Linked DNA regions of Canis lupus familiaris. The protein of the gene in region 2 purifies or fractionates together with the protein of the main gene of each other region. This does not show direct contact. Links are inferred from orthologs where the notes say so. Each region holds a gene or a part of one and is shown on either strand. Other genes may lie near its edges. The genes, in order: CHD4, TOP1, CDKN2A and PCNA.

Region 1 (4,349 bases), on a different chromosome or scaffold from region 2:
ATTTTCTTAAGGCTTTTTCAAAGCAATCCCCCATGTCATCCCCCTCACTAATAAGTCACATCTCTCAGTTCCTCATCTTCCTCACCTCCGTGAAAGCTGGACACCAGGACAAACCCGTGCAGGTGAAGGGAACACCCATCCACATAAGACCCCCAAACTTCTCAAGCAGATAATGCACAGAGACAACATTCAAAGTGGCTGAGACATAAAAGAAGATTTGGGAAAGGGGCAGGAATGGGGTGTGGCAAGTGGAAAAACTGGGTCATGCTACAGCTTGGGGCAGAGTTCACCCTGGGAGCCTGCACTGCTCCCAATCAACACAGGGGCAGCCCCAGCCCAAGGGGCCAATGGGAAGCCAAAATGTGGAACCAACATTGGCTGGACAGCACTACTACTTCTCTCGCCCCTCACAGAGAGAGTCAGATCATGTTACCAATGCTGCTACCCCACCCCCACCTTGGGCAACAGTACAGAAATTTGCCACCTTGGTCTACACAGTGATGAGACTCGAGCCTAAGTTTCTCATCCCAACAGCTGAAGACTCAGCAACAAGACTGACCCCTTTACTAAGTGGCCTCAGTTTCAAACTAAGACTTGAAGACTTCCAACTTAGAAAACACCAAAATGTAGGAACATCTTTCCCAGACCTCAACTTACTGCTACAGCTAAGGAGAGAGAAGGCAGAAGTGAAAGATGTTTGATGGGAAACAAAAACACGACCAGCAGGCTCCAGAATTAAAGCGAAAATAAAGATAAGCAGAAGGATAAAGAAATGACATTTAAAAAAAAAAAAAGAAGCTTGAAAAAAAGGTCAAGGAAACAAGTAGGTGACTTAGCTACGGGCTGTGAAAAAGGAAAGACAGACAAGAGAGAGACATCCACTCAGATGCATGACATCAATCACCATTTGAGAAGAGACAAGAGCTTCTCCAATCAGGCAGGATGATTACAACCATACGGGTTTGGCCAGTCCCAGGAGCCACCCACAAACACAGAACAACCCCCAACACACCTACACAAACACTTCATGACACCAGCCCAAACCCTAGGCTCCCTGCACCAAAGCAGAAGCCTCTAGGAAAAAAGTCTGTATCATGTCCATTTGCTATGGGAAGGGGGGGGGGGGTTGCCCAGGGTGTCACCTCCCTTCTTTTGCCCCTCCCTAGTATATCCTTCAGGGTGTGACATCCTACCCCAAGCCCCCATCATTTCCCCATTTGAAACATTCCAGCAATCTGCCTGCTAAAAGCTCTCTACATCCCAGCTGAGGAGCGCAATTCAAACTTCACAGTTGAGACATCACAGAAAACCGGTAACTGATCAGAAGCTAAAAATAATCAGATAGAGAGTAACCAGCACTCCCTCTCTCCTTTCCACAGCAGCAACCACAGGATCCTGCTAACACAGATGCCGGGCTGGTCTTCAACATGCAATCCTCGACACCCACCCGAACCCCCACCCCGCCTCCAACGGGTCCCAGCCACCTGCATTCCTCCGTGGACCCACACAAGGTAAGGTCTCCAGACCAGAGGGCTCCCTCAACTGGGAACTGCATAGCATTCCTTAAAACAGACAGTGCAGCAAGCTTGCATCTCGGTCCCAGAGCCCAGGAGGCACATGGCTTCCACCCCCTCCCACAAGAGCTCCGCAGAAGGGAACCACTCCCTTCGGATGCCCTCCACCTCAGACTCTGCACGGAGAGAGAGAAACTCAACCTTGCCTCACCAGAGTCGCTAGGGAGGGCCCAAATGCCTCCTTCCTGCCCAGGGCCCTTGGGGAAGATTTACCTGGGTGGGGTGGGGGCAGGCTGTTGTTCAAAAGTGCATCCATATCTTCCTCCTCGCTGCCCGCGGAGCAGGGGGACGGGGAGCCCAGGCCCGACGCCATCCCCTTCCGCTCCCGGCCAGGGAATTGGCCCAGCTGCTCCTGCCTGCGGCCTGGGGCCCTCTACACTGGCCCGAGTCACTGTGCGGGGGAGGGGGGGAAGAAAGAGAGAACAGTCAGTGACGCGCACTGTCCCCCTCCCCCACACCCACCCGCTCTTTCCGCCCACCACCAAAGCGGCCCCCCCAACCCCAGCCACCCTAGCAGGGCACCCGAACCACTCAGGCTGAACTTAGTTCCACACTCCTCGAGGGCAGCCCGGAAGCCGGCTCCCCAACTGGAGCCCCCCAGATGAGCGGGAGCGACGCCCCCGAGGGCAGGCTGGTGCAGGCGTGGGGAGGGGGAGAAACCAGGCTGGACCGAGCAGGGTATGTCGGGGGAGGGGGGTCCGAGTGGCCGCGGCGCGGGGGGGTCGGGGGAGGCGGCAGGCAGCGAGGCGCTCGGGGACACAAGGTCACTTGGGGGTGGGGGGGCGCCTCCCTGCGCCTGGGGAGGGGCCAGTCCCCAGACAGGGCAGCTCTCCAAAGGCTGTCCTCTGGGACAACTCAGGTTCTCCGGAGGAGCCACGGGGCCGAGGGGGCGTGGAGGCTCGGGCGCTCCAGGGGGCTGGAGGCTGGGACGCGGGGGGCGAGGGAGCGCCCACCGGGCAGGGGGCCGGGCCACGTGTCCCGGGGGGCAAGTGAGCAAAGGGCGAGGGGGCGGGCGCCGGGCATTGTGGGAGACCCAGCCCGAGGTGGGAGCCGCGGGGGGCAGGACTCGGGCCGGCTCAGGGCGGGGGCGGGGGGGGCAGGGCGCCCTGCAGGCAAGGAAAAGGAAGGGTCGGCTCCTCTGGGCAGGGGGCGGTCCGCGAGTCCGGGACATCTGAGGAAGGGGTGGATGGAGGGATGAGCTTGGGGGCTGGTCAGGCTCAGAGGGGCGTCTCTTTAGGAACCCCGCGCTCTCCTCACCCCGGAGCCGCCGCAGGTCGCGCTGGGTCCGGCCCGGTGTCACTCCCGCTCCGGCTCCTCCTCGCCGCGGCCGAAGGGGGGAAAATGGCTCCGGCTCCGGCGTCGCCTCTTAAAGGGCCCGAAACACCGGCCGGGAAATCCCACCGCACAGGCCCCGCCCCCCCACGGACAGCCCATAATAACCTCAACCAACTCCAACCCCCCCTCCACTACCGCCACCCTCCTCCTTAGGTCTCCCGGGCAACCCCCGCCCCCTCGTCGCTCCGGCAACCATTGGCCACGCCCCCTTCGAGCGCGCGCGCGCGTGTCACCCGGGCAACCACCCACCTCCGGCCATCCCATAATACACACGGACACCCCACCACCACCACCCCACACACACATACACTCCATACACCTATATGCTAAGGTTGTTGACATATCATAATATTGCAGACCTTTGCAACTAACCCTTTCCCCACCTCAGACATCCCATAATAGCCATCCTTTGCCAACTTCTTCACTCTTGGCCCTAATGCTAACATCCCATAATAATTCGTCACCTCTCCTTCCCCATGGCCATCCCATAATAAGCACCCCTCCCAGCACTTAAGCCTCACAGCCCATAATACTCATTCCCCATCCCCCACAGACATCCCATAATAACCACTCTTCATCCACCCCCAGTTTGATATCCCATAATAGTCAGAAACAACGCCCCCCCCCCCCCAGTACTACAACGGACACTTCGGCCTCCTCCCACACACATCCCGTAATAATCAGTTTCCCACTTTTACACTGACATCCCATAATAACCAACCCCCTAGCCTGAGCTGCCCTCAGCCCCTGCAGACTAGGGTCTAGATCCTCACACCACCACCCTCAGCCTTCATACATGCGTTCTAACTCCACAGCCCATAGTAACCTCTTCTCTGTCAAAGAGATATCCTCTAATGATCGGCAGCCCCACTGTCACCCTACAGATGGACATCCAATCTCCTTTCCTCTAACGCTGGAAAGATATCCCATAATTTTACTCTCCCACCCACACCTTGATATCCCATAATAATGTCAAGGAGCCCGAGGTCCACCAGACATACTCTAATACTCCCAGCACATCCCATAATGCTTCATCGCCAGCCACCACCCCTATACCTTTCCAGCCAGGCATCCCATAATATTCACATTCATACCTCCCCCACCTCCTCAGGCCATCAGGTCTATTCTAACACCCAGAGCCACAAGGTTGTGAAGCAGGCTGCTACCCGCACTGCCCTGTGCCCACCCCAACTTGTACATACCTTTATCCCTTTCTGGGCCAAAGCAGTATCCTGGCATAAAACCTCTTGATGTCTAGGGCAAGCCCTACCTTCCCTCAGACCATTTCTAGACTCTCAGGAACTGCCAGTCAACCTAGGGCCCCACCCAATCCCACCCAAATCCAGTTATTCTCCAGATGCTTACCTCCAGCTCCAGCTCTTAAATATTGAGTAAGACCAGCCAAATACCAGGCTGACCAGATGAACCATTTACATAAAG
Region 2 (4,456 bases):
ACATTCTAAAAGTCAATATACTCAGTTTCCTTTGGTATCTATAAAAATGGCATTAAAGATCAATAATTTACCCAGCCCACAATCATCACATATTCAATCGTTCCTTTGCATAATTTAAGTGAGATCCATGGAGATTAACTTTCTGAGGAGAAAGGACTAAACTTTGCTTCATTGCTAAATACACAACCTACTCAGCCCAATCTTAAAGTCAAAAGAACACTTTTTTCTGTGTTAAGCTCCTACCTTCCTCCAAGAGAGGTCAAAAGGACTCCTTACATCCTCATCTGCCACATCCTTTCTTTGCTTCCACATCCCAAGGAAACATTTATACCTCTGCGGTTTTCTGAACTGCAGAGGACTCCTCGCCCCTTCAAAATCCTGATAGGTTAGCTAAACACTAGTTAAGAAATACTCCAACCCCTGACACTCAGCACCTAGTCTTGCACAACACTCAGCTCAGAAGTCACCTCCTCTAAGAAATTTCCCCACCCCCAGACAAAATTAATTCTCCTAGTTTCTCAAAGCATTTTGAGTATACATATACCTCCGCACCTACCTTATAATTAACTAATTATGTCTCTCCCAGCAGACGGGATTGAGGGCGAGAGAAGCATTGTGACCCAAGGTTCAGATCTAGCATTACACAGTGTTTCGCACATATTAGGTGCTCAAGAAATGCTACTTTAATTTAACCTACAACCCTTCCTTGCAGAATCACATCTCTTGCTAGATGCCCCACTACAAATCTGAACATAAGGCTGCTCTCAATAGAGCAGGCTAACACGATGGACTGCTGATTACAACATCAGAAAATCTACTCATCAGCTTCTCCCATTGGAGAGGTTCCCGGAACCCGAACTCAATTGAGCAGGATTATGTACCATCAGAATCAGTGGGAATTCCCAGCACACAACAGAGGGTACCTTCTCCTTCAATAAGATTGTTGAAAAGCCCGCAGGGTGAGCTTTTTATTGGGGGAATCTTCATTGAATAACTGAAGTGGAAATACTCAAAGAATAAATGCCTTGATATGGCTGAAAAGGGGTCAAAAGCATAAAGATCTAGGAAAAGCAAGCTAGCTCTTGGTTCCTGAAAAACAGCGGCTCCTGAAAAAAGAACAGGAAACAAGGGTGGATGCGGACTACTCTTTGTTTCAATAAATAAAATCTTTTTTTCTTTCCCATGGCCCGAAAGAAAAGGCCAACACACCAGGTCCAGATGAGATGCTCCACAACCTTTTCTCCTGACAAGTACACTAAACTGAGGTTCTTAAAAATAAATAAATAAATAAAATAAAATAAAAACAAAAAAGCCAAAAAAAAAAAAAAACCCAACAACAAAAACCAAGAAAAGAGAAACAAAACACTGCATTAGGAACCTCAGCCATCACGAAAAGTTCTAGTCAGAAATACTTAAAAAAAATTTTTTTTTTAAATCTATATGCCCGAGTCCAACGTTTACTTTGGAGGGGCCCACGGAGAACTTGCAAACTTTGTGAAGGGAGGTACTAGTACTACCTTTGCAAAGAACACAACTTGGGGGAAAAACAACCTCAAAATATGAAAAACTCCACAAAGGGTGGCTTTAGTTTTAGGACCGTAATTCCCATCATAAAATTCTTACACCCCCACCCTTCACCTTCTCCTCCCCCCCACCACCACCGCCGCCGCCACCACCGCCGCCGCCGCCCGCCCCCCTCCGCCCCCCAAATCAACAGTTGCCGAAGGGTAGCTTTCATTCTGGAAACAGAAAAGGAAACAAACGAGAAGCAGAAAGGCAATAACCCCCCAAAATAAAGTTCTCCTTGGGGAAAAAAAATAGTAGCCATTCAGTCTCCCACCCTTCCCTCCCCGGTGAGGTCTGTGATTTCCACGGCTTTGCTCTGCAGAAAGCTCTTTCTGGGCAGCTCAAGGAAGGAGCCGAGGGAGGGAGAGAAAGAGACACACAGGCACAGAAAGGAGAGGAGAAAAAGAAAATGGCGCAGAGACTAAGTCCCGACTGTCGACAAGGCGACTTTCCCGGGAGGAATCCGGGCCGACAAAGGCTGCCCGAAGGCCGGCGGCGGGCGACCCCGGGTCTCCGTTGCCCCCTCTTGGGAAGGCCGCGGTCTGGGGGGGCTGGGGTCCCCGGAAAGGGGGTCCAGAGGCGGCCCGATGGGAACAATGGGGCCGGTGAGCGAGGAGCCGGGACTTAGTCTCTGGGACGCCATGTCTGTCCTCTGCCCGGCTCCGGCCCGGCGCGGGCTGGGCGGCCGGCGCCGGGGCCCCCGGGGTCGGGGCGGGGGGCACACTCACCATTCAGTCGGAAATCCGCTTCAATCTGGAGGGAGAAAAGGAGGCAGTATGAACAAACGGGCTCCCCCCGGCCCGCGGGCGGCGAGCGCGCGGGGCCGGGGGCCTAGCCCAGCCCGCGCCCGAGGATGAGGATGAGGATGAGGAGGAGGAGGAGGAGGGAGGGGCCCCGGGGTCGGCCGTAAGGGGCAGCCCCCCGCCGTCCCTAACTCGGCGGCTTCCGCCCGCGGCCTAGCGCGCCCAGCCCCGCCGGCCGCCCGCCCCTGGCCGGGGGCTCCGGCCTGTCAAGGCGGCCGGGCCCGCGCCGGGGGTCGCGGGGGTCGCGGGGGGTCGCGGGGCGGGGCCGGGGCGCCAGGAGGACCCGGCCGAGCCGTACCTGGGAATCGTTGTGCAGATGGTCCCCACTCATGTCGGCCGGAGCGGCGAGCGCGGCGGGCGGCGAAGGGCGCCGAGGAGACGCAGACGGTCGGGGCCGGCCTGTGCGGGCGGACGGGGGCCCCCGGAGGCTCCCGGAGGCGCGGAGAAGCGGCGGCGGCTGCGGGCCCGACGCTCCCCGAACGGCTGAGGCGGCGACGGCGGCGGCGACGCGGACTGACTGCCGGGCGGGCGGCGAGAGCGGACCCCAGCAGTTGTGTAACAGCCTAAGTTCGCATTTCGCCTCACTGCGCCTGCGCGGCCGCTTTTAAACGAGACGTCGGCGACGTCAGAGACTCGCGGAAAGAGGCCGAGGGCTGCGCGGCCCGCCCCCCCCCGCCCCCCCCGCCCTCCTGCGCTTCCCAAGGCGGACCCGGCTTTGCATCGCAGGCCCCGCCCCCAAGCCCCTGCGCGCCGCCGTGATTTGCATAAGCAGCCGACTCCTCCCACGGCCGCCCCCCGGGGCGATCTTGCCTGGCTCTCCCCGCGCGGTTTCTCGGAACCCCGTACGCCTCTGCGAGGCAGTGCGCAGGCGCAGCCCGGACGCCGCCCCCGGACCCCGGCCGGCGGCGCGGGCCACGTGGTGGGCCTTTAAAGGCCGCGGCGGGACCGCGGCGGGACCGCGGGAGCCCCGGGCCGAGCAGCCGCCCTGCTGCCGCCCGCTCGCCGCTGCAAATGCCGTGGGCGCTCGGGGCCCCGGACCTTTCACCGGCGCTTTTTCGCTCATGAAGCGGACCCCGATGCCGCCTTGCAGGCAGGAGCTCCCGCCCTAGCCTTTGTCTAGGCCTTCCAACGTGCTGGATTATTTTCACTCCGCTTCTTAAAAAAAAAAAAAAAATTTTTTTTAAACCAACCAAAGGTCTGGTTTAGCTCCAGTTTTCTGCCGGGTACGTGTAGTCCCGGTCACAAAAGCCCTAATTTCATTCGTTCGTTCGTTCGATGAACGTAGCATTGAGCATCTCCCGTAAACCAGGAATCACGCTGAAAAAAACGGTGGTGGCAAAGGGCCAAAGGAAATGGGACCTTGGGGATAAACAGGGCAAAAGAACTGCCGTTAATGGGGCGCCGACTGTGTTGTGTGCTCTGATCTCTAAGATTTTAGTTCTTCGAATGTAGATGTCAGGCAGGAGGTTGTAGGTCACTTACCCTGACACAGTTTGATAAAATAGCCTCCACGGAGCTGGAGCTGTCGTGTGGATTCAGAGAACACCTCCACCCAGCTAGAAAAGCTCCACCCTGGACATCTTCCTCCTTCCTTTCAAATTAGTCCAGTTGATTGCGTCTGTTCAACCCATCTACCTCCTCTGCCCACGCATCTGTCGAAGTCTGCGTTATCTCTTGCGTGGATTATCACAATGCACTCCTAACAACGGCCCCTGCTTCCATTCTGGCCCTCTCACGAGCTGCTAGCCAGAAGTAGCCGGAGTGCCCTTTCAACACGCCACCTAACATCCCCTTCCCACAATACTTGCTTTCACTCTCGGTATAAAGTGCACAATTCTTAAAGTACCTACGGGAGCCCTGCTACATAACCCGCATCATTCAAGTGTGATCTTTGTGAATTTTGTCATATCTATTACCACTTCCACTACTTTACTTAATATTTTATTTTAAGATTTTATTTATTTATTCATGAGACACAGAGAGAGAAGCAGGCTCCATGCAGGGAGCCCCACGTGGGACTCAAGCCCGGGTCTCCAGGATCATACCCCGGGGCTGAAGGCGCCGCTAAACCGCTGGGCCACCGGGGC
Region 3 (4,571 bases), on a different chromosome or scaffold from region 2:
GGCGCCGTGGAGCAGCAGCAGCTGGGCCACGCGGGTGCTGCCCATCATCATGACCTGCCGGGAGAGCAGAGTGGTCAGGACAGGGACAGGGGGCAGGGGCAAGTTTAAAGAACCTATTTGTGAAGCCCCTACCCCATGCAGATGCCGCTACAAGCCACGGGCGTCTATTTATTCTATTTGCTTTCAGTTACCACCTCCCTTAGACAGTTCTGCTTATTCCATTTTTCTGTCCACATTGAATTCCATTATATTCTCCAAACTTTTGCGGAATTCCAGCCACACCCTATTGTCTGTCAGAGGCATGACAATAGCAAAAGAGTGAGAGACGAACTGGCTTGAACTATAGCCTAACCTCCTATAGCCCCCCCACCCATTTTGATACAAAATTATATAAGGCCCAGAGATTTTGTATGGTTTTCTGTTGTATATCCAAGCCCAGGACATAATAATTGTTAAAAAGTGAAAGTGAAAACAACAACAAATCTTTAATTCCTAAAAAACTTTTAATATACACTTAGCCTACCAGAATGTTAAAATTCACTCTAAGTATAAAATGAGGGTTCTCTAACCAGCCCCCAAATTCCTTCCCATAATGAGCTGAAGAATGTCCCCAAAGATGTGTACTACCTAACACTTGAAAGCTGTGAATATAATACCTTACATGGGAAGAGAGGCTTCCCAGATGTGATTAAATTAAGGATTTTGAGAGAGATTAACATGGATTATCAGGATGGGCCCAATGTAATCACAAATTCCCTTATGAGGTTACAGAAGAAAGATCTAAGAATGGAGGTCAGAGAGAAGAAGATGCAGGGACCATGAGCACAGGAATGTTGATGGCCATTAGAAGTTGGAAACAGATTCTCCCCTAGAACTTCCAAAAGAAATGCAGCATTGTGGATCCATTTTAGACTTCAACCTCCAGAACTATAAGATAATAAATTTATGTTGGTTTGAGACACAAAAGTTGTGGTAATTTGTTACAGCAGAAATAGGAAACTAAGAAACTTCCCAAGTTTATATACTCTGAGAGTTCATTAAACAGGAGGTGCTCCCTTCATTTGTTTGATAAATCGTCTTTGAAACAAAGTCATTACCAAAGAGGATTTTTTAAATAGTATCTACAATCACAGCAACCTTACAATTTGAGTGTTACATGGCAGATGGCAGTGGTAGATAATTTTCTTTTAGGCTAACCACTATTTGATTATATTAGCTAGACTTATAGTGACTGTATAAAAAGGAATTATTTTTAATTACATTCTGCATTAAACGTAAATAATTATTTCTCTAAGCCAAGGAACATCTGCGAAGCCTCTTTTCCCATGTAAGGTAACATACACTTAACTGATTTTAAAGGTTTTCATTATATTTTGCAGTATTAAAGTATGAAAGAAACCTAACACTTAAATACTTAAATCTAAATAGCAATCCAAAGCTGAAAGAAAAAGAATCGATTAAATGAATATTTGTAGAGTGCTTAAATCCATTTGATAAGATATTTAAAGTAATTATAATTTTCTATAAACTAATTAGTTTTGTATTAAACACAAGGTTGGTTAGGGTTCTAAACCAAAACCATGCACTCTTTTCTCTATGTTCTTATTTTCCCTATTAAAAAAATTGTTAAAACTAATTATCCAACTTTTTTCTTTTTGTATTTAAACAAAGTCTCTTCAAACATATTCCAAACTTCAAGGCCACACTCAGTCTCTGAGCAAAATCTTAGAGAAATGAGAAATCATGCATGCATTCTTTTTAAAGGACTCATGGTTTTCTTCTACCATCACACAACCTCTCTACTCTCAAAATCCCTTCACACTTAAAATCCCAAATAATCTCAAGTTTTAAGGCATTTTGTTTTTATTTTTATATATGTATGTTAAGGTATATAAAATTTATCCTATGTAGCATTGTTTCAGGAAAGGAAGATGACTTGTGAAATCTGTGCAATTGCAGGTACAGTTACTTTCCTTTGTCTTGTTATGCTTGAATTTGTGCAGTGAGCCTTTGTTTCACATACATTTTATTTTTCACAATCCAAAATCATTGTCAACACTGGGAATAAAACTAGGGTGGTGACGAACAGGGAGAAATAGGGTTTTTTGGTTTTGGGTTTTTTTTTTTTTTTTTTTTAGCCTGGATTTAGGAATTTAGTGAAGGCAAACAACAACAGCAAATACCCAGCACCCCCACCCCCACCCACAACCGGAGTCAGGAGGGAAGAAACCACATTTCTGAACCGTGAGGAATCCAAAACTCTCTCAACTGCGTTAATCTATAGCAAGTCAAAAGTAACAAAAATAATAGGAGGTACCCTCAAAATGGTAGCTAAATCGACGGCATTATCTCAGGCAAGATCACACTGTTTTTCTTCATCTATGTCTGTCTGTATTCCCTAAATTCTCACAAGCACAGATGTGCCATACACGGTTAAAGTAAAAATAAACACAACATGCAGTTGCTTCTGAACAATTTCAATGAATATTTATTCAATTTACACAGCAGAAGGTTTCCAGTACAATCGCCGCTAGCACAGAAGATGATCCGCTCCCTTCAGGGGTCTATGAGTTCCGGCCTAGTGGGCCCAACAAATCTTCCATTTCTTTAAAATCTTGCTTTACGTTCGTAACTGTGTATCAGATGGAGAGCACACCTCGGACTATATTAACACGAACAGGCTCCCCCCTCCCGATCTCAGACCAGACATCTGCCCTGCACGTGCCTCCCCATCTCCCCTCCCCCCCCCCCCCCCCCCCCCCCCGCGGCTTCCTCTGCCCCCAGGACGCGGACACTGGAAGCTCCGGGCTCCAGACACCACCTGGGACCTCACCAGGGAGTCTCCCCGTCCCCGACCAGCGACCGGCAGACCTGGAGGACTCCCTTGCAAACCCTGTGCCGCACAGTCGTCCGCCACCGCCTCCTCCCGCCGCCCGCGCGCTCACCCACCTGAATCGGGCTCCGACCCAGGCGGTTCGGCGCGTCGGGAGGCGCCCCCGCCGCGAGCAGCGCCCGCACCTCGTCCGCGCGGCCCCGGGCTGCCGCCGAGGCCAGCCAGTCGGCGAAGGGCTCCATGCTGCTCCCGAGCGCGGGCCCCCGGCTCCCTCCCTCCCTCCCTCCTTCCCGCCGCGGCCGTCGGGCGCCAGCGGCCCGCCCCAGCCTCTCGTGACCCGCCCGCCCCTCCTCTCCCCTCCTCTCCCCTCCTCCGGGGCCGGCGGAAGCGGCCCCCAGACTCGGCCCCTCGACTCCTCCAACCCGACTCTTTCAATCCAGGAGAGCGCCCTCCGCTCTCAACTCGCTGCGAAACGAGTCGCCCCACGCGTGGCCTCTGCCGTCTCGGTTCCACGGCTCCCCCAGGGGAGCACGACCGAGCCGCGGGGGCAGGGAGCCGCGGGCCGCCCCACAGCTGCCCTCGCGCCGCGTCGCTCCGCGCTCCGCCCCGCCTGCGCTCCCCGAGCCGGGCGCTGCCCCCCCGCCCCTCCCCCCGCTGCCCATCGCCCCCCGCCCCTCCCCCGTCGCCCGTCGCCCCCTCCCCCGGCCGCCCATGGCGCCCCGCCCCCCCCCCCGCCGCCCATTGCGCCCCTGTCGCCCCTCCCCCGTCGCCCGTCGCCCCCCGCCCCTCCCCCGTCGCCCGTCGCCCCCTCCCCCGGCCGCCCATTGCGCCCCGCCCCCCCCCGCCGCCCATCACCCCTCCCCCCGCCGCCCATTGCGCCCCTGTCGCCCCTCCCCCGTCGCCCGTCGCCCCCCGCCCCTCCCCCGTCGCCCGTCGCCCCCTCCCCCGGCCGCCCATTGCGCCCCGCCCCCCCCACCGCCCATCACCCCTCCCCCCGCCGCCCCTTGCGCCCCTGTCGCCCCTCCCCCGTCGCCCGTCGCCCCCCCCGCCCCTCCCCCGTCGCCCCTCCCCCAGCCGCCCATTGCGCCCCGCCCCTCCCCCCGCCGCCCATCGCTCCTCCCCCCGCCGCCCATTGCGCCCCCCTCGCCCATCGCCCCCCCGCCCCTCCCCCGTCGCCCGTCGCCCCCTCCCCCCGCCGCCCATGGCGCCCCGCCCCTCCCCCCGCCGCCCATCGACCTCCCCCCGCCCCTTCCCCGTCGCCCATCACCCCCTCCCCCCGCCGTCCATCGCCCCCCCCCCGCCCCTTTCCCGTCGCCCATTACCACCCCCCCCCGCCCTTCCCCGTCGCCCATCACCCCCTCCCCCCGCCGCCCATCGCCCCCCCGCCCCTTTCCCGTCGCCCATTACCACCCCCCCGCCCTTCCCCGCCGCCCATCGCCCCCCCCCGCCCCTTCCCGGTCTCCCATCACCCCCCTCCCCCCGCCGCCCATCGCCCCCCCCCCCCAGCGGAGGCGCACGCGGTCTCGGAGCCAGTTAACCCGATTAAAGCGACATTTCTCTCGTTTCCGTCCTCCGCTGTACAAACCCTCCGCATTTTAAAGCCGCACAGGATTTCTAACTAGCAAGTTCGAACCAGGGTGTTTCATGTCACAAAATATTGCTTCCTATTTTACTCAGAAGCAGCAGCTCGCTGTTCCTCGCCGGGTCCTGCGGGGGCCGGGTCCTGCGGTCACGCCGA
Region 4 (4,146 bases), about 13 Mb from region 2:
CGCAGGAAATTACAACAGCATCTCCGATGTGACTCAGATCTCGGCATATACGTGCAAATTCTCCAGAAGGCATCTTTACCACACAGCTATATTCTTGTTCCTGTTAAAATGAAAAATTAGAGTTCACTTGCTGGAAACTAAATTTGGCATTCTCATTTTTCTGAAGCCTCAGCATTTAGACAAGAATTCAGAATTTAAGGTTTTCTGATTACTTTAAAATATCACTCATTGTGTATTTCCATAACATAATCTCTAACTCAAAAAATAAATGCAGATATAAAACAAGTATGGGGATCCCTGGGTGGCGCAGCAGTTTGGCGCCTGCCTTTGGCCCAGGGCGCGATCCTGGAGACCCGGGATCGAATCCCACATCAGGCTCCCGGTGCATGGAGCCTGCTTCTCCCTCTGCCTGTGTCTCTGCCTCTCTCTCTCTCTCTCTCTCTCTCTCTCTGTGACTATCATAAATAAATAAAAATTAAAAAAAAATTTTTAAAACAATATGTCATAAGAATAATCATACTAAGAAAACTAAAATTAAAGTTTAAATCTTTAATGATAAATGCACTATCCAGGAGAAAAGAGCCTCCCCCTAAATCCCCCTCCAGGGCTAAATCAAGAGGACATTAGGGTATGGCCTACAAATGATGATGCGTGTGCAAGCAGGCCCAACTGCTTACCAAAACAAAACAAGAAGATAAGATAGTAAGGATTTTAAACATCTCAACATTTCTTATGTTGATAAACCTCACCTGAATGAATTTCTGCTAACACAGCTTTATTTTTATTTTTAAGATTTTATTTATTTATTCATGAAAGACACAGAGACAGAGAGAGAGGCAGAGACACAAGAAGAGGGAGAAGCAAGCTCCATGCAGGGAGCCTCAATCCTGGGACTCCAGGATTATGCCCCTGGCGGAAGGCAGGTGCCAAACCGCTGAGCCACCCAGGGATCCCCTAACACTGCTTTAAAGTCTACTCTTAATACTCACTGGAATTCCAAGTTGTTCAACATCTAAATCCATTAACTTCATTTCATAGTCTGAAACTTTTTCTTGATCTACCAAAAGAAAGCAGATTGAAGAAAAGTATGTAAGTTTATAACTATGCCATTAATAAGCTTTACAATCATTAGGAACATTTTCTTAAGTTTTTCACAACTAAGAGAAATCTTTTACACTGCATTTAAATTTCCTCTAATATAATTTAGTAGAAGAGTATCACCTACTTGGAGCTTCAAATACTAGTGCCAAGGTGTCCGCATTATCTTCAGCCCTTAGTGTAATGATGTCTTCATTGCCAGCACATTTTAGTATTTTGGACATGCTAGAACACGGAAGACACAGGATTTAAAATTGCCACAACGTTCTCAGAATCGTTAAGATTTCTGACCCAATTAAAACAAGGAGTTACCATCTTTATTTACCAAGGTCGTCTGAGGAATTGGTGAGTGAGGTAAACTAATCCGGCCATTTTGTAACCCAATTTGGCAGTATTTATTCTTAAACAGGCACACAGCCTACCATGAGCAATTTCACTTCTAGATACAAATAAAAGAGCAGCATTTCACGCATTGCAAATTGCAAATCCCTTTGGTGCGCGAAGCAAATTATTGGGTCCTGACGGTCAAGAAAAATGAGCTAAGATACTTATTAATACACACTGCATGCAGTCGAGGTCAACTATTTCTCATAAGCCTCATATTTGAACATGTTTTTGGAAGGCGGGGTGGCTCAGTGGTTGAGCGCCTGCCTTTGGCTCACGTCGTGATCCCGGGGTCCTGGGATGGAGTCCCACATAGAGCTCCCTATGTGGAGCCTGAGGGAGCCTGCTTCTCCCTCTGCCTGCGTCTCTCACGAATAAATAAAATCTTTAAACATGTTCATGTACTAGACATGTAGTGATCAAAGAGTTGAAAGCCACTGCCCTGGAGAAATTTTAAGTCCAGGAACTTAGGGTGCTCACTGCAACTTCCTAATAATAAAGGACCAGAATCAACCGATGGTCCCTAGGTAGGGTGACGTAACTCGGGCACATTATAAAGCGGTTAAAGGCAGTCAAGCCAAAGGGTTCTCATCCAAGGCCGCCGGCACTTAGTGGCCAAGGTGCTGTGTAAGTCTTTTCCCGGCACCACGAAGAAGCCCGTCATTTTCCCGCCACCACCCGCTTTGTGACTTTGGCGCGGAAAACGCCGGTTCGCGCGGCTGCCAGCGCGGGCTTTCGGAACCGCGCGCTCCGCTAGATCCCGCCCCTGGGCGCCGCAGGCCAATGAGAAGGCGCGGGTCGCCCACGCCAGCCAATGAGGACCTAGCTCGCAGGCGCTCCCGCCAAGAGCCGGAGGTGGGGGTGCGAGAGAGCCCGGCCCTTGGCGACCCCAGGGGCTCACCTGGTGAGGTTCACACCCATGGCCAAGTTGCGGTCGCAGCGGTACGTGTCGAAGCCCTCGGAGCGCAGAGTGAGCTGCACCAGGGAGACGTGGGAGGAGTCCATGCTCTGCAGGTTTACGCCGCTCGAGCTGATGTCCCAGCAGGCCTCGTTGATGAGATCCTTAAGCGCCTCCAGCACCTTCTTCAGGATGGAGCCCTGGACCAGGCGCGCCTCGAACATGGTGGCAGAGTCACAACGACACAGCTGCAGGCGGAGACGAAGAGGAAGTTGTAGCCGGCTTGGCGTCACGGGGTACGAGCGAGCTGGCGAACGCAGCGGCGAGGGCCGGGGAGCCGGGACGATCACCGCCCGCCCGCTCCGCCTGCAACCGTTTAATAGCGCCGCGTCTGCTGGCGCGCGCGCTCCGCCTCTGCGCCGCGCGTGGCGCGTCACCACGTTGCCCCGCCCACTCCCTGGCGGACGGACTCCGGGGCCAATAGTGTCCTTGGCCTCCGCTCCAGCCCGTCCTCCCTGAACGTCCACTGAAGGGTCGGCCGCAGGGGCGGGGCAGGGGCGGGGCAGGAGCGGGGCGCCTCCGCCTCCCGCGGGACTGCCTTCTCCACCCCGCTCGCGACGCCGGGCGCTGAACAAGTCTGGGCTTGTGACGGCCAGACCCAGGTTGGGGTTCTTTGAGTTACAGCCTTGTGCTGCCTCCTCAACCTCCCGCTTCAGGACTAGAAAGGCTTTGGCCGTGAAAGTGAAAGGCAAATCCAGCCCACCGGGAGGAAGACGCCTGGCGGCCCGAGGAATACAGCTGTTTTAAAAGTGCATTTTATTTTTGCTATCGTAGAAGTGATGTGTTGATAAATGTTGCTAAGCTGACCACTGAAAGATTGCAATCTACAATATTTTCCTAAATACAGATATCAGCAATCTTGTTTTAAAAATCTAAGCTTATTTGCGTGAAAATTCTGATCTGCATATTAAAAACTTGTTACAGGGGGCACGTGGGTGGTTCAGTCAGTGGAGCCTCTGCCTTTGGCTCAGGTCATGACCCCAGGGTCCTGAGATCTAGATCCAAGGTTGGCTCCTGGCTCCGGGAGGAGTCTGCTTCTACCTCTCCTTCTCCCTCTGCCCCTCCCCAATATGTTTTCTCTCTCAAATAAATAAGATTTTAAATATTTTATTTACTCATGAGAGATACAGAGAGGCAGAGACGTAGGTAGAGGGAGAAGCAGGTTCCCTGCACAGAGCCTGATGCAGGACTCAATCCCAGGACCCCGGGATCAGGCCCTGAGCCAAAGGCAGATGTTCAACCACTGAGCCACTCAGGTGTCCCCATTTGTAAATTTTTTTTTTTTTTTTTTTAAGATATTCGTGAGAGACACACAGAGACAGAGAGAGGCAGAGACACAGGCAGAGGGAGAAGCAGGCTCCATGCAGGGAGCCCGACGTGGGACTCGATCCCGGGACTCCAGGATCACACCCTGGGCTGAAGGCGGCGCTAAACCGCTGAGCCACCTAGGCGTCCCCTCCCCCCACCTTTTTTCCCCCACCCCCCCCCCTTTTTTTTTTTTTAAACAGGTTCTTTTTTTTAATTTTATTTATGTATTTATTTATTTATTTATGATAGGCACACAGTGAGAGAGAGAGAGGCAGAGACATAGGCAGAGGGAGAAGCAGGCTCCATGCAGGGAGCCCGACATGGGATTCGATCCCGGGTCTCCAGGATCCCGCCCTGGGCCAAAGGCAGGCGCCAAACCGCTGTGCCACCCAGGGATC

The links.
Region 1: the proteins of TOP1 (region 2) and CHD4 purify together in Homo sapiens (affinity purification with mass spectrometry; 3 studies listed by BioGRID and IntAct, with this or other methods). This does not show direct contact. The link is inferred for Canis lupus familiaris from reciprocal best matches to the Homo sapiens genes TOP1 and CHD4.
Region 3: the proteins of TOP1 (region 2) and CDKN2A purify together in Homo sapiens (affinity purification with western blotting; 3 studies listed by BioGRID). This does not show direct contact. The link is inferred for Canis lupus familiaris from reciprocal best matches to the Homo sapiens genes TOP1 and CDKN2A.
Region 4: the proteins of TOP1 (region 2) and PCNA purify together in Homo sapiens (affinity purification with western blotting; 3 studies listed by BioGRID and IntAct, with this or other methods). This does not show direct contact. The link is inferred for Canis lupus familiaris from reciprocal best matches to the Homo sapiens genes TOP1 and PCNA.

Annotation. Positions count from the first base shown.
Region 1 is NC_049248.1:7,681,358-7,685,706, forward strand, and holds the start of CHD4 (chromodomain-helicase-DNA-binding protein 4), read right to left. Parts: upstream 2,990-4,349; 5' UTR 2,832-2,989; intron 2,253-2,831; exon of another isoform or gene 2,082-2,252; intron 1,966-2,081; 5' UTR 1,888-1,965; coding exon 1,788-1,887; intron 1,512-1,787; exon of another isoform or gene 1,380-1,511; intron 1,086-1,379; exon of another isoform or gene 1,002-1,085; intron 1-1,001. UniProt on the Homo sapiens protein: ATP-dependent chromatin-remodeling factor that binds and distorts nucleosomal DNA. Acts as a component of the histone deacetylase NuRD complex which participates in the remodeling of chromatin.
Region 2 is NC_049245.1:29,648,725-29,653,180, reverse strand, and holds the start of TOP1 (DNA topoisomerase 1), read right to left. Parts: upstream 2,965-4,456; 5' UTR 2,701-2,964; coding exon 2,668-2,700; intron 2,320-2,667; coding exon 2,295-2,319; intron 1-2,294. UniProt on the Homo sapiens protein: Releases the supercoiling and torsional tension of DNA introduced during the DNA replication and transcription by transiently cleaving and rejoining one strand of the DNA duplex.
Region 3 is NC_049232.1:41,339,742-41,344,312, forward strand, and holds the start of CDKN2A (cyclin-dependent kinase inhibitor 2A), read right to left. Parts: upstream 3,088-4,571; 5' UTR 3,076-3,087; coding exon 2,950-3,075; intron 55-2,949; coding exon 1-54. UniProt on the Homo sapiens protein: Acts as a negative regulator of the proliferation of normal cells by interacting strongly with CDK4 and CDK6. This inhibits their ability to interact with cyclins D and to phosphorylate the retinoblastoma protein.
Region 4 is NC_049245.1:16,928,550-16,932,695, reverse strand, and holds the start of PCNA (proliferating cell nuclear antigen), read right to left. Parts: upstream 2,801-4,146; 5' UTR 2,605-2,800; coding exon 2,384-2,604; intron 1,324-2,383; coding exon 1,226-1,323; intron 1,058-1,225; coding exon 990-1,057; intron 101-989; coding exon 1-100. UniProt on the Homo sapiens protein: Auxiliary protein of DNA polymerase delta and epsilon, is involved in the control of eukaryotic DNA replication by increasing the polymerase's processibility during elongation of the leading strand.